Linked DNA regions of Saccharomyces cerevisiae S288C. The protein of the gene in region 2 binds, or shares a complex with, the protein of the main gene of each other region. Each region holds a gene or a part of one and is shown on either strand. Other genes may lie near its edges. A codon is read from its position in the direction of its gene.

Region 1 (4,050 bases), on a different chromosome or scaffold from region 2:
ATATTGGCGCTGTAAATTCTTCACTTGATTAAGATTTTCTGTAATGATCTCATCTCACAAATACATCGCAAATCAACTTGAAAATTTTTAATACAATAAAAGATTTGAAGGAAAAAAAAAGTGCCTGTGCGCGATGTTACTTAAAAACAAAAAGATTAAATAATTGCAATATCATCTAGTTGGATTCTAAATATACTACCAAACAAGGGCTTAAACATTTTAATAAACGATTTACATATTTACTGTGGGTATGGCAATGGGTGAGCGTAGGTATGCTACGGTAGGCGATGTAGTGAGTAGTGCGGACGAACCGTAGCCGTAACGTTTAATGCCCCCTGCCTTTTCTTCTCAATTGCTCACATGTAAGCAAAGTCTTCCAAGAATCTGGTTTTACTCGTAGCCTTTTAACGCTGTTTTTTTTTTTTGCACACCTTTAAAACCTATAGAAACTCCTTCATATAAAATGTACTAGTTATAAGATGACTTTTTATATTCAAAATTAGAAGAAAACTTAACTAAAATTAAAAAAATAGCGGCTATTAAAAGGTATTAAAAAGTGAGAAAAAAAGAAAAAAATTATAAACTTGAGAAATCAAAGGAGACTAAATGCATAAGCAAAGAGAAGAGGATCTCCTCGGATGATAGATTTATACAATTACTCTAACTTAGAAGGTTTACTAGACGGATTAACGGACTTGAATCGAATTCCGAAGGAATACTCCGCAGTATTGGAGCCATATTTTCAGAATATAGCAAGAAATGCACATTTAAAGTCTAGAGCTCTAAAAATTTGTCGTTCTAATTTCCATAAATGGAACGAAGAAGGTGCGAAGACAGTCAATCCGGAAATTATAAGAAGATGCCTTAACCTGTGGTATGTTTTGAAGGGCAAGGAATATAAAAAGTTGAAGGATCCTCCGCCTGCTGATAATATCATTAAGGATGAGATTGATGTCTCATATGTTAAGAATTTGAATGTAGTCAGGTTGGAATTTGACGAATTTGGTAAACTCATAAGTAATCCATTAGAGAATTTGATCTTGGAAGAGGTCGAAGTGAATGATTTCATACAAGAATAAACCTAAAGTGTGTTCACTCATCTAATATGCACGGAGCCTACCTTTTAGCTTTTGCTGCCAAACTAAACCAAGATTGAAAGATATATAATCGACTATCTTTCGTCTCGTAATCTGTATCATGCAATTTAAATTAATTATCAACATAAAATGCTCTAGTTAGCACGCGCATATCCAGGAAAGTTCACCAGTAACTATGTACTAGACAAAAGCAAACTGTTCGGAGCGACCATACACCATATGTTGTTGAATCAACTTTTCTTAAGGCTCTTTCGAGTTCATCATTAACCAACCTAGGTATTTTCCCGATTTTTTGGTAATATGTCAAAACAGCTACTTTGTATACATTTATAGACGCCTGGTGTCCTTTGAGCCTCACTTATATAAAGTAACCTTCACAAGATTTTGGATTTTGGTAATACATACGCTACTGCTATTTCTTGCGGAGCAGCAGAATCATCTTGCTCGGCCTCCTTTTCTGAAAATTTCGATGATACCTGAAATAATCATCATTAGCAGAGGGAATTTAAAAATAGAGGGTGTAAAATTATCAAGATTTTTTTTTGCTAAGGTGAATGAGTAGTGAGTAAAGAACTAAGAACAGTATGTCCGTTAGCACGCCAAGTGAGTTAGACGCATTAATAGAACAAGCCACTAGTGAGAGCATTCCCAACGGTGACCTTGATCTCCCCATAGCGTTGGAAATTTCAGATGTGTTAAGATCTAGAAGGGTAAATCCCAAAGATTCTATGCGTTGTATAAAGAAAAGGATTCTCAATACGGCCGATAATCCAAATACCCAATTGTCTTCCTGGAAGCTTACCAATATATGTGTAAAAAATGGTGGAACGCCTTTTATTAAGGAAATTTGTTCCAGAGAGTTCATGGATACCATGGAACATGTCATTTTAAGAGAAGATAGCAACGAAGAACTTTCTGAGCTGGTAAAGACCATATTATATGAACTATACGTAGCCTTCAAAAATGATTCGCAACTTAACTATGTGGCAAAAGTTTATGATAAATTAATCTCTCGTGGCATTAAATTCCCTGAAAAGCTAACACTTTCCAATTCTCCGACTGCAATGTTTGACTCGAAGACGCCCGCAGATTGGATTGATTCTGATGCTTGTATGATTTGCTCCAAAAAGTTTTCTCTACTAAATAGGAAACATCACTGTCGTTCCTGTGGTGGAGTTTTCTGCCAAGAACACTCATCAAATAGTATACCCTTACCTGATTTGGGTATATATGAGCCAGTCAGAGTATGTGATAGCTGCTTTGAAGATTACGATTTGAAGAGACATGACGACAGTAAAAAATCTAAAAAACATCGCCATAAAAGAAAGAAGGACAGGGACTACTCAACTCCTGAGGATGAAGAAGAGCTGATAAGGAAAGCAATAGAACTCTCCTTGAAAGAATCTAGAAATAGCGCTAGTAGCGAGCCTATTGTCCCCGTTGTAGAATCAAAGAATGAGGTGAAGAGACAAGAAATAGAAGAAGAAGAAGATCCTGATTTAAAAGCTGCTATTCAGGAAAGCTTGAGAGAAGCTGAAGAAGCGAAGCTACGCAGTGAGCGTCAAAAAGCCTCTAGACAGATGCAACCCCAACAGCCATCACCTCAACCTCAACCTATCCATTCCGTTGATTTATCTGATGAGGAGAAAGACAGCATATACATGTTTGCTTCACTTGTCGAAAAAATGAAATCGAGGCCCTTGAACGAAATTTTGGAAGACTCTAAATTACAAAACTTGGCTCAAAGAGTATTTGCTTCCAAAGCAAGGTTGAATTATGCTTTAAATGATAAAGCTCAGAAATACAATACTTTGATAGAAATGAACGGCAAGATTTCGGAAATTATGAACATATACGATAGATTATTGGAGCAACAGCTACAAAGCATCAATTTGTCTCAGCAATACACACTTCCACAAGTCCCTTCTGATCCGTACAATTACCTAACAGAAAATGTGCAAAATCCAGCAGAAAGCTATCAAACACCTCCCCTCCAGCAACTATCATCTCATCAATACAAACCACAACAGGATGTCTCACGCCAACAATCGGTAAAAGCAAATTCATCACCTACCACTAATATTGATCACTTGAAAACCATCGATGTGACACCACACGCACAGCAAAAGCCTCAATCGCACGTTGAACTTGCACCTTCGGACCCACCTTATCCAAAAGAAGAGGCCGAAGATGAAGGAACACAGGCAGTGCAAGATGAGGAATCCTCCACACAAGAATCCCGCGAAAGGCCGTATCCAGTAGAAACAGAGAATGGTGAAACTTCAATAAATAAACGGCCTCAAGGCATTACACGTTACGATTTTCCAACTGTTCCTGCACGCAAATTCGTCCAACCGGAGTCAACTGTACCACTTCCTGCAAGTTCCTCTGAAATTCCGATCAAAGAGGAAAGGCCGCCTAGTCCTCAAGAGGAACTGCTAATAGAGCTTTAATATTGTAGCCTTTTCTATGTATTTGTAAAAAGAAACCTAGCGCTTATAAATATATACATACATATATATATAATTGCTTGTTACGCAACTTATACATATTTCTGTCATTAAACTAGTTTTTAAGGTGAATATTCATAATTTATGTCAGTATTAACATTGAAACCGTCAAAAAAAAAAGTATCAATATAGACAAAGGAAGGACCATTTTAAGAAAGTGGTTTTAAGGAAGAAACTTGTTCCTGCATATTTATAGTTAATTCCTATCTTCTTGTTTATCCTGTTTTTTGACCACCTGGCTTGCAGCTAATAGTGAAAAAACACAAATTTTTACCAACCTTCCATGGTATAGTCATGTTGTATACTCGGTGTAACACTAGTAATAAACTTTAAGAAAACAATCAAGTATTGGTCTACCCGTAACGAATCATCAATATCGTCTTGTAAATCCTCCCAGTCTCCGACACCGTCCAGCTCTTGTTCTTCCTGCAGCTCTTTCCTTC
Region 2 (6,435 bases):
TCCTGATCTGTTCTTCATGCTTGTCGGTCCCTTCAGGGATGTGCTTGTAAATATAATAATCTAAATCCTCACCTGGCTCTGCCCTTCTAAATAGTTTTGAATGAAATTCAACGCCGTCTTCGGCCCTCTTTTTGGCCAGCTCTCTTTGGCGGTTTTCTATCTGAAACTTTTCTTCTGTAGCTACTTCATGGTCACGTACAGCCAGCGCATCCGTAACCTTCTTCCAAAGCCTTCTCGATTCGTATTCTCCCTGTTCCTCCAATGGGCGGACTTTAGGAGCTAGAGGAAAATGCTGATGAGTATCGAAGAGAACAGTCTTTTTAGAGCTTTTTTCCCTCAAATCTTTGATATACATAATATCATTCCACTTACCACTAATTTGGTAGTATTCCTTACCATCGTAATCCTTAATTGTACCTTCAATTGCATCATAGGTACCAGAAATAAAGCCCTTTGTTTTGAACTCAATATCCACTTGATACTTAGGACCCATAATGACCATGTGATCTCCCAATTCAATCCTCATCTTGCCAAACAGAATTCCCCTTGCGTAAACATTTGGTTGCGATAGAGTATATTTCTCTGGTTTACCATTTGCATCCTTGATATCAAGGAATTGCAATACAGTTAACCCCTCCATCATTGCAGCACTTGAGTTTCCTAAAAATTTCGATTTTGGCACAACAACTCCATCAACTCTAATATTCGATTCTGGAATCATGTAAAAATACGCAGATTCAGGAGGATGGTGACTCGTTTGTTCTGCAATGTAAAAGGCTTGTTGCTTGTTAGGCAAATCCCAATAAGCTGTAAAGTGTTCTCCAAGAATGGGATTTAGGGGCTTCTTCACAGCCCTGGGCCCAATGTGCCAACCTGCTAGGTACCATGCTACCACTTTAACGAACCTTTGCAGCCCGTCTTTATTGGAGTGTGCTTCTAAAAGAACATCTGGGAATTGTAATTGATTAGTGATTCTCTCCAACATCGATTTTTTTTCCAGAATAAATGTCGGAAGTGTGATTCTAGATAAATCACAACCTGGCTTCAGCTGGGAAATAATATTTAATAGAATACTTTGCCCAGATTCATCATTCTCATCGATATCATCCGTGTCTGCTCCGCTTGGTTTGGAATTTGCAGCATTGGATGCAATGCCGTTAATTGAGCTATGAGAACTGTTTGTTAAAGAAGGTATATTCTTTAGTTTATTGAGAGCCATTCTTTGTTTCTAATTTACTGGTTAGTTTCCTATTTCTAAATGAAAGAAGGAGGAATCTTTCCATTTTGAATATATCACATCCCTTCTTTGTTGACGATTTCAGAAAATATACTTTCATCCTTTAGAATTCTGGATTTGCGAGTGACCTCGGAAAAATTAGTACGCACGAGCGAATTAACATTCCTATAATATACTGATACATATTTCGAATTTGATTTAGGTAATCATTGGTGCATTACATTCCTTACCTTGAATGTACAGCTCTAATTACACACAAGTTAAAAAGTAGATAAGAAGAACTCCAACAATTACACATCCACAAAACGATTTAGTATAATAAGTAGGATGGTAATCACATGACTAATAATTCTTTTAATTTTAATTAATTTAATAAAATTAAAATAATATATATACTAAATTGTTTATTAAAAATGATTAAACATTGGGTTTTGTGTTCCGAACTTAGAAAATTGGTTAAGACATTATCTTAAAAACGCGAAAAATAAAAAAATGATTATTGATGTTTATTTCACAAGCACTAAGGGAGAGTTTTGTCAACAAAGAATTTTATCGCTTCCTCAAGCCCAAATCTCTTGCCGATCTAAAGGAATAATCGTAAGAAAGAATTTACGGAGAATATATCGTCATAGCAACCTGAGGGTGTATCACCACCTCTCTACTATTATCTAGATGCTTTTTTGTTCCTTGCGTCGAATGGTAGTTGGCGCGAGTAATATAGCTGGTGAGGAAACTCTCATGGTAAAGTGTATTTATAATGGAGCCGCAAAGAATATCCCTTATAAAACATCACTATATTGAGAGGAACAGGGAATGTGGCCAGAACAAAATGAAATGATATGTTGTTTACATAAATGGTTAAGATTAATATATATAATATGCATTGACGGAACGCAAAATTGCTTTCAGTACTTACCTATGGATTTTAGAATTATTCTTCTTTTTTTAAGCCTTAGCCAAAGCCTTCTTGACAGTGTATCTCTTTTGCTTTCTTAAAACCATAACTTGGAATCTTTCAAAGTCAGTCAAAGCAGCACGTCTTTCACGTTGAGCAATCTTCTTAGCCCAAGATGAAGCAGCCCACTTTTCGCAAACACCAGCAGCAGCCCACTTCTTAGAAACGGTAGCAGTTCTAGCACCTCTTGGTAGAGCAAAGGTCAATGGAGTTAAGACAACTTGACCCAAGTTGATGGCTTGACGTGGGACACCAGCTTTTGGACCATCAATCAAAACCTATAGTAATTATAACGAATAATTTAAAAAATTATTCATAAAAGTTGTTAGTAAATTGAAATACTTTGAAAACAGGAAAAGATTATTTGGCAATTGAGGAGGTATGGCTACATGTGCTGAAGTTATCTTCTTAAGTATGGGAGTTATTAACTGCCAGGGAAGGAGTTTGCCAGTAACAAAATATGTAGAAATTTCACTGTTGTTTATGCAAAAAAAGAATAGAAACATCTCCGGCCCTCTGTCCCATTGCATATTTCAGCATCTACTCATTGTTTAACATGTTTCACTATTCAGGCATGAATCAGGAAGTCGTTGGCGGTCCCTGAACATACGGGGACTTTCTCTTCCTTACAATTTCCTCCTCAGTTTGTCCACGGTGGGTTTTAGGTTCAACATACCTTCTTTTGGTCGATAATTTCAACGATAGCAGCCAATTTACCTGCGGATTGACCCTTTTTGATCAAAACGACACGGCCGACTTCGACTAATCTCCAGTTGGAGGCTTTAACAATAGAATCAGTGGACATTTTTGGTTTATTTGCGCGTTTATTTCCTGAAGTTACTTTAAATGCTTCACACTAATAAATGCTTGTAGCCTCTCTTCTTTATTATTAATTTAGAATGTTAGGATACCCTTTTCTGAAGATTGCGAAAATTGGAATATCGAACAATGGTCGGGGAGTCTCAAGAAAAAAAAGCAAGAAAGTTTTACTGTGTGGTGTAAAATAACAAAAAATGTGTGGGCTGAAAACCGTCTTTAAAGGTACAAAAGTTGAATAAAATGCTCTTCGTAAAAATTAAAGATATGTAAAGGTGCTATATAAGTTGAAGGGCTATTGTTCATAACCAGGTGGTGGTTGGCTAACAACTGAATATCCAAGATCATAACCGTATTGTGGGGTATTATTTGCGCTATTCGTAGGATGTTGGATTGGCAAATTAGAAGGGTAAGGTGAGTACTCATTGCTTTGGTAACTCTGCCTCTGAGGTGGCATTACTGGAGTATTATTAGCATGAGTCATTCCTGCGTAGAGTGCAGGGCCTGGAACTGGTGGTGAGATATGTGCGTTAGCTGCACGATCCATTAGTTGATTATATGAGCGTTCTGCATTTGCTAAGACTTGACGCAGGGATAACATGTCTTCTTTTTCTTTAGCATATTTACCTAACATTCTCGTAACTTGAGGTCTCAAAGGCGTTACAGATCCGTACATATCTCCAATATGAGGATCTTGCAAAACTTCATTTGAATTTCCCGTTTTAGAAGCTGCATTAAGCGAATTATGAAGTTGATCTATGGTAGTTTTTTGAGAGAATACTATGGCTTCCTTATTTTTTTCCTTCTCAATTTCTTCTTTCGATGGCTCAACAATCGGTGTTACATAATTTAATGGAAATATACCCATATTTCCTCGAAGAGCTCCCTTCCACCAATCTCTATATACTTGTTCCAGCACTGTAATAACATCGCCCTTCCTAAAGGACAATTCATCCGGTTCGTTTGTGGTTAAGTCATATAGAGCCCGAACTCTTCTCACAACGGTTTGTGCCGGTATTTTGTGAGCAGGAGCTTGATTCTGCTGCTGATGCTGCTGCTGTTGCTGCGGAAGGACTTCGGCACTTTCTTTTTCCTGTTCTTGTAGCTTTTTTTGCTTTTCGTACTCAAACAAAGACATTTTTAGTGCTTTTTGTAATTCCTCATCATCTGAGTTGTCTGCCTGGGTACTCATGTTATGCTTCTCTGGTACATTAGGCTGTACCAAATATGGAGCCTTTCTTTTAATTTTGTCATATAGATCTCCCATGGCGCGTAATGATGGGTCATCCTTGAATGAATCAGACAGTTGCTTGACAACATCAGTCACCGCTTTTTTTAGAGTAATGTGTACAGAATGGCTCTCGATGAGCGCATATAACAAAGAGGTAAAATTTTTTGAACTAATTTCCTGTCTTAAGCGGGAACCACAATTTTCTGCCAAAGATACCGTCAAAGAGAGGGTTCTTAAGATCACGTTAGCATCCTGTTGTTCTAGCCTCTTCTCTATAAGAGACATAACCTCTTGTCCATTATCTTCGGGATCTTCCTTCACCAAATCGCAAACATCTAAAATGTATTGCCAGTTATCACTTCTCAACTTGGGATCTGTTGCCTTCAACAGTGCATTCCTTATTTTAATCGCAGATGATGACATTTTTGTCAACGGTTTCCTTAGATAGATTTACGCATTGCCTCTGGCATGGCCCCTATATTTAACAGTTAGAATCCATTGCGTTTCATTTATGTAATTCGAATTTCTTAACTAATCACTAATAACGGTAAATGAGGTTAACCATTAGAATAATGTATATAATTACGTACAAAGGCTACCGAAGTTCTGCGGCAGTAATGTAGGGTTTAGCTTTTGAATCAATCTTAGAGCCTGCTATCTTCCTGCACTTGCTGATTCCATAAATATAAACACCTTTCGGCTAGACCGACAAAGGTCGTAGTCGTTTTTCCTTTAGGGTATTATGACCAGGGACACCCCAGTCCGTCAAGACTAATATCGATAGTATATTACAGGTAAATAGAGATCCCTTTTATAGAGAATTTAACGCTTTAAACTTACCTAATGCGTCATCTTCCATTTGAAATCCTTCTTGACCGAGGGCAGCCCAGGGGTAGTGAAAAACGATGAAAAAATTCCATTTTTTTAGCGGGAAAAGCAAATTGCAGCATCAACATTTTACGCGCTATCACTTGACAAACAAGGCAAGGAAAACTGCAGCCCTGTACTAAGAAGGTCAAGATATTTGCCAAACGATTTCGTAAGGTTGTCTCAATTGATCTGACTGCTTGTCTATCTAAAGTGGCAAGGTATATTAGACAGTGTTGAGAGTGAACTCCAAGATACAGAGAAACTGAAGAAATAACGACAACATGACATCAGCTACGGACAAATCTATCGATAGGTTAGTTGTTAATGCAAAAACAAGAAGACGAAACTCTTCCGTGGGTAAAATTGATTTAGGTGATACAGTTCCTGGCTTTGCAGCCATGCCTGAAAGTGCTGCCTCTAAAAATGAGGCCAAAAAAAGGATGAAAGCCTTGACTGGTGACTCTAAAAAGGATAGTGACCTACTGTGGAAGGTTTGGTTTTCATATAGAGAAATGAATTACCGTCATAGTTGGTTGACACCATTCTTCATACTTGTATGCGTGTATAGCGCGTACTTTTTATCTGGGAATAGAACAGAATCAAACCCGCTGCACATGTTCGTAGCCATATCATATCAAGTTGATGGCACAGACTCATATGCAAAAGGTATCAAAGATTTGAGTTTTGTGTTTTTCTACATGATTTTCTTCACATTTTTACGTGAGTTTTTGATGGATGTTGTAATTCGACCATTCACGGTATACCTAAATGTTACTTCCGAGCATCGTCAAAAGCGTATGCTAGAACAAATGTATGCCATATTTTATTGCGGAGTTTCAGGGCCCTTTGGTCTTTATATTATGTACCATAGTGATTTGTGGTTGTTCAAGACAAAACCAATGTACAGAACATATCCTGTTATAACCAATCCGTTCTTGTTTAAGATATTTTACTTGGGTCAAGCGGCATTTTGGGCGCAACAGGCTTGTGTTCTTGTTCTACAATTAGAAAAGCCAAGAAAGGATTACAAGGAATTGGTTTTTCATCACATTGTGACATTATTATTAATTTGGTCATCATATGTTTTCCATTTTACCAAAATGGGATTGGCTATCTATATTACTATGGATGTGTCAGATTTTTTCCTTTCTTTGTCTAAGACATTAAACTATCTGAATTCTGTATTTACTCCCTTTGTGTTCGGCTTGTTCGTGTTCTTTTGGATCTATCTGCGCCATGTCGTGAATATCAGAATATTATGGTCAGTCTTAACAGAATTCCGTCATGAAGGTAATTATGTGTTGAATTTTGCCACACAACAATACA

Evidence for each region. The genes of interacting proteins can lie anywhere in the genome.
Region 1: the proteins of HSE1 (region 2) and VPS27 are in contact, whole or in part, in a crystal structure (PDB 2PJW), measured with the Saccharomyces cerevisiae proteins. Residues at the interface, in NP_011861.1 of Saccharomyces cerevisiae: Val292 (codon at 3,789), Phe293 (codon at 3,786), Gln295 (codon at 3,780), Lys296 (codon at 3,777), Ile299 (codon at 3,768), Asp300 (codon at 3,765), Leu302 (codon at 3,759), His303 (codon at 3,756), Leu306 (codon at 3,747), Asn307 (codon at 3,744), Ala309 (codon at 3,738), Ser310 (codon at 3,735), Ser315 (codon at 3,720), Asn316 (codon at 3,717), Leu319 (codon at 3,708), Tyr328 (codon at 3,681), Val331 (codon at 3,672), Thr332 (codon at 3,669), Arg335 (codon at 3,660), Val338 (codon at 3,651), Met341 (codon at 3,642), Leu342 (codon at 3,639), Tyr345 (codon at 3,630), Ala346 (codon at 3,627), Glu348 (codon at 3,621), Lys349 (codon at 3,618), Met352 (codon at 3,609), Leu353 (codon at 3,606), Leu355 (codon at 3,600), Arg356 (codon at 3,597); in NP_014403.3 of Saccharomyces cerevisiae: Asp349 (codon at 2,726), Leu350 (codon at 2,729), Lys355 (codon at 2,744), Ile358 (codon at 2,753), Tyr359 (codon at 2,756), Phe361 (codon at 2,762), Ala362 (codon at 2,765), Val365 (codon at 2,774), Glu366 (codon at 2,777), Met368 (codon at 2,783), Lys369 (codon at 2,786), Ser370 (codon at 2,789), Arg371 (codon at 2,792), Asn374 (codon at 2,801), Leu377 (codon at 2,810), Glu378 (codon at 2,813), Gln383 (codon at 2,828), Ala386 (codon at 2,837), Val389 (codon at 2,846), Phe390 (codon at 2,849), Lys393 (codon at 2,858), Leu396 (codon at 2,867), Asn397 (codon at 2,870), Ala399 (codon at 2,876), Leu400 (codon at 2,879), Lys403 (codon at 2,888), Ala404 (codon at 2,891), Lys406 (codon at 2,897), Tyr407 (codon at 2,900), Thr409 (codon at 2,906).

What each region holds. Positions count from the first base shown.
Region 1 is NC_001146.8:635,305-639,354, forward strand, and holds VPS27 (ESCRT-0 subunit protein VPS27), read left to right. Parts: upstream 1-1,681; coding exon 1,682-3,550; downstream 3,551-4,050. Other genes in the region: SWM2 (Swm2p), read left to right, coding at 639-1,079; ATG3 (Atg3p), read right to left, coding at 3,878-4,050. UniProt on the Saccharomyces cerevisiae protein: Component of the ESCRT-0 complex which is the sorting receptor for ubiquitinated cargo proteins at the multivesicular body (MVB) and recruits ESCRT-I to the MVB outer membrane.
Region 2 is NC_001140.6:100,839-107,273, reverse strand, and holds HSE1 (ESCRT-0 subunit protein HSE1), read right to left. Parts: upstream 4,663-6,435; coding exon 3,304-4,662; downstream 1-3,303. Other genes in the region: oxysterol-binding protein related protein OSH7, read right to left, coding at 1-1,219; 60S ribosomal protein eL14 RPL14B, read right to left, coding at 2,183-2,470, 2,869-2,997; sphingosine N-acyltransferase LAG1, read left to right, coding at 5,391-6,435. UniProt on the Saccharomyces cerevisiae protein: Component of the ESCRT-0 complex which is the sorting receptor for ubiquitinated cargo proteins at the multivesicular body (MVB) and recruits ESCRT-I to the MVB outer membrane.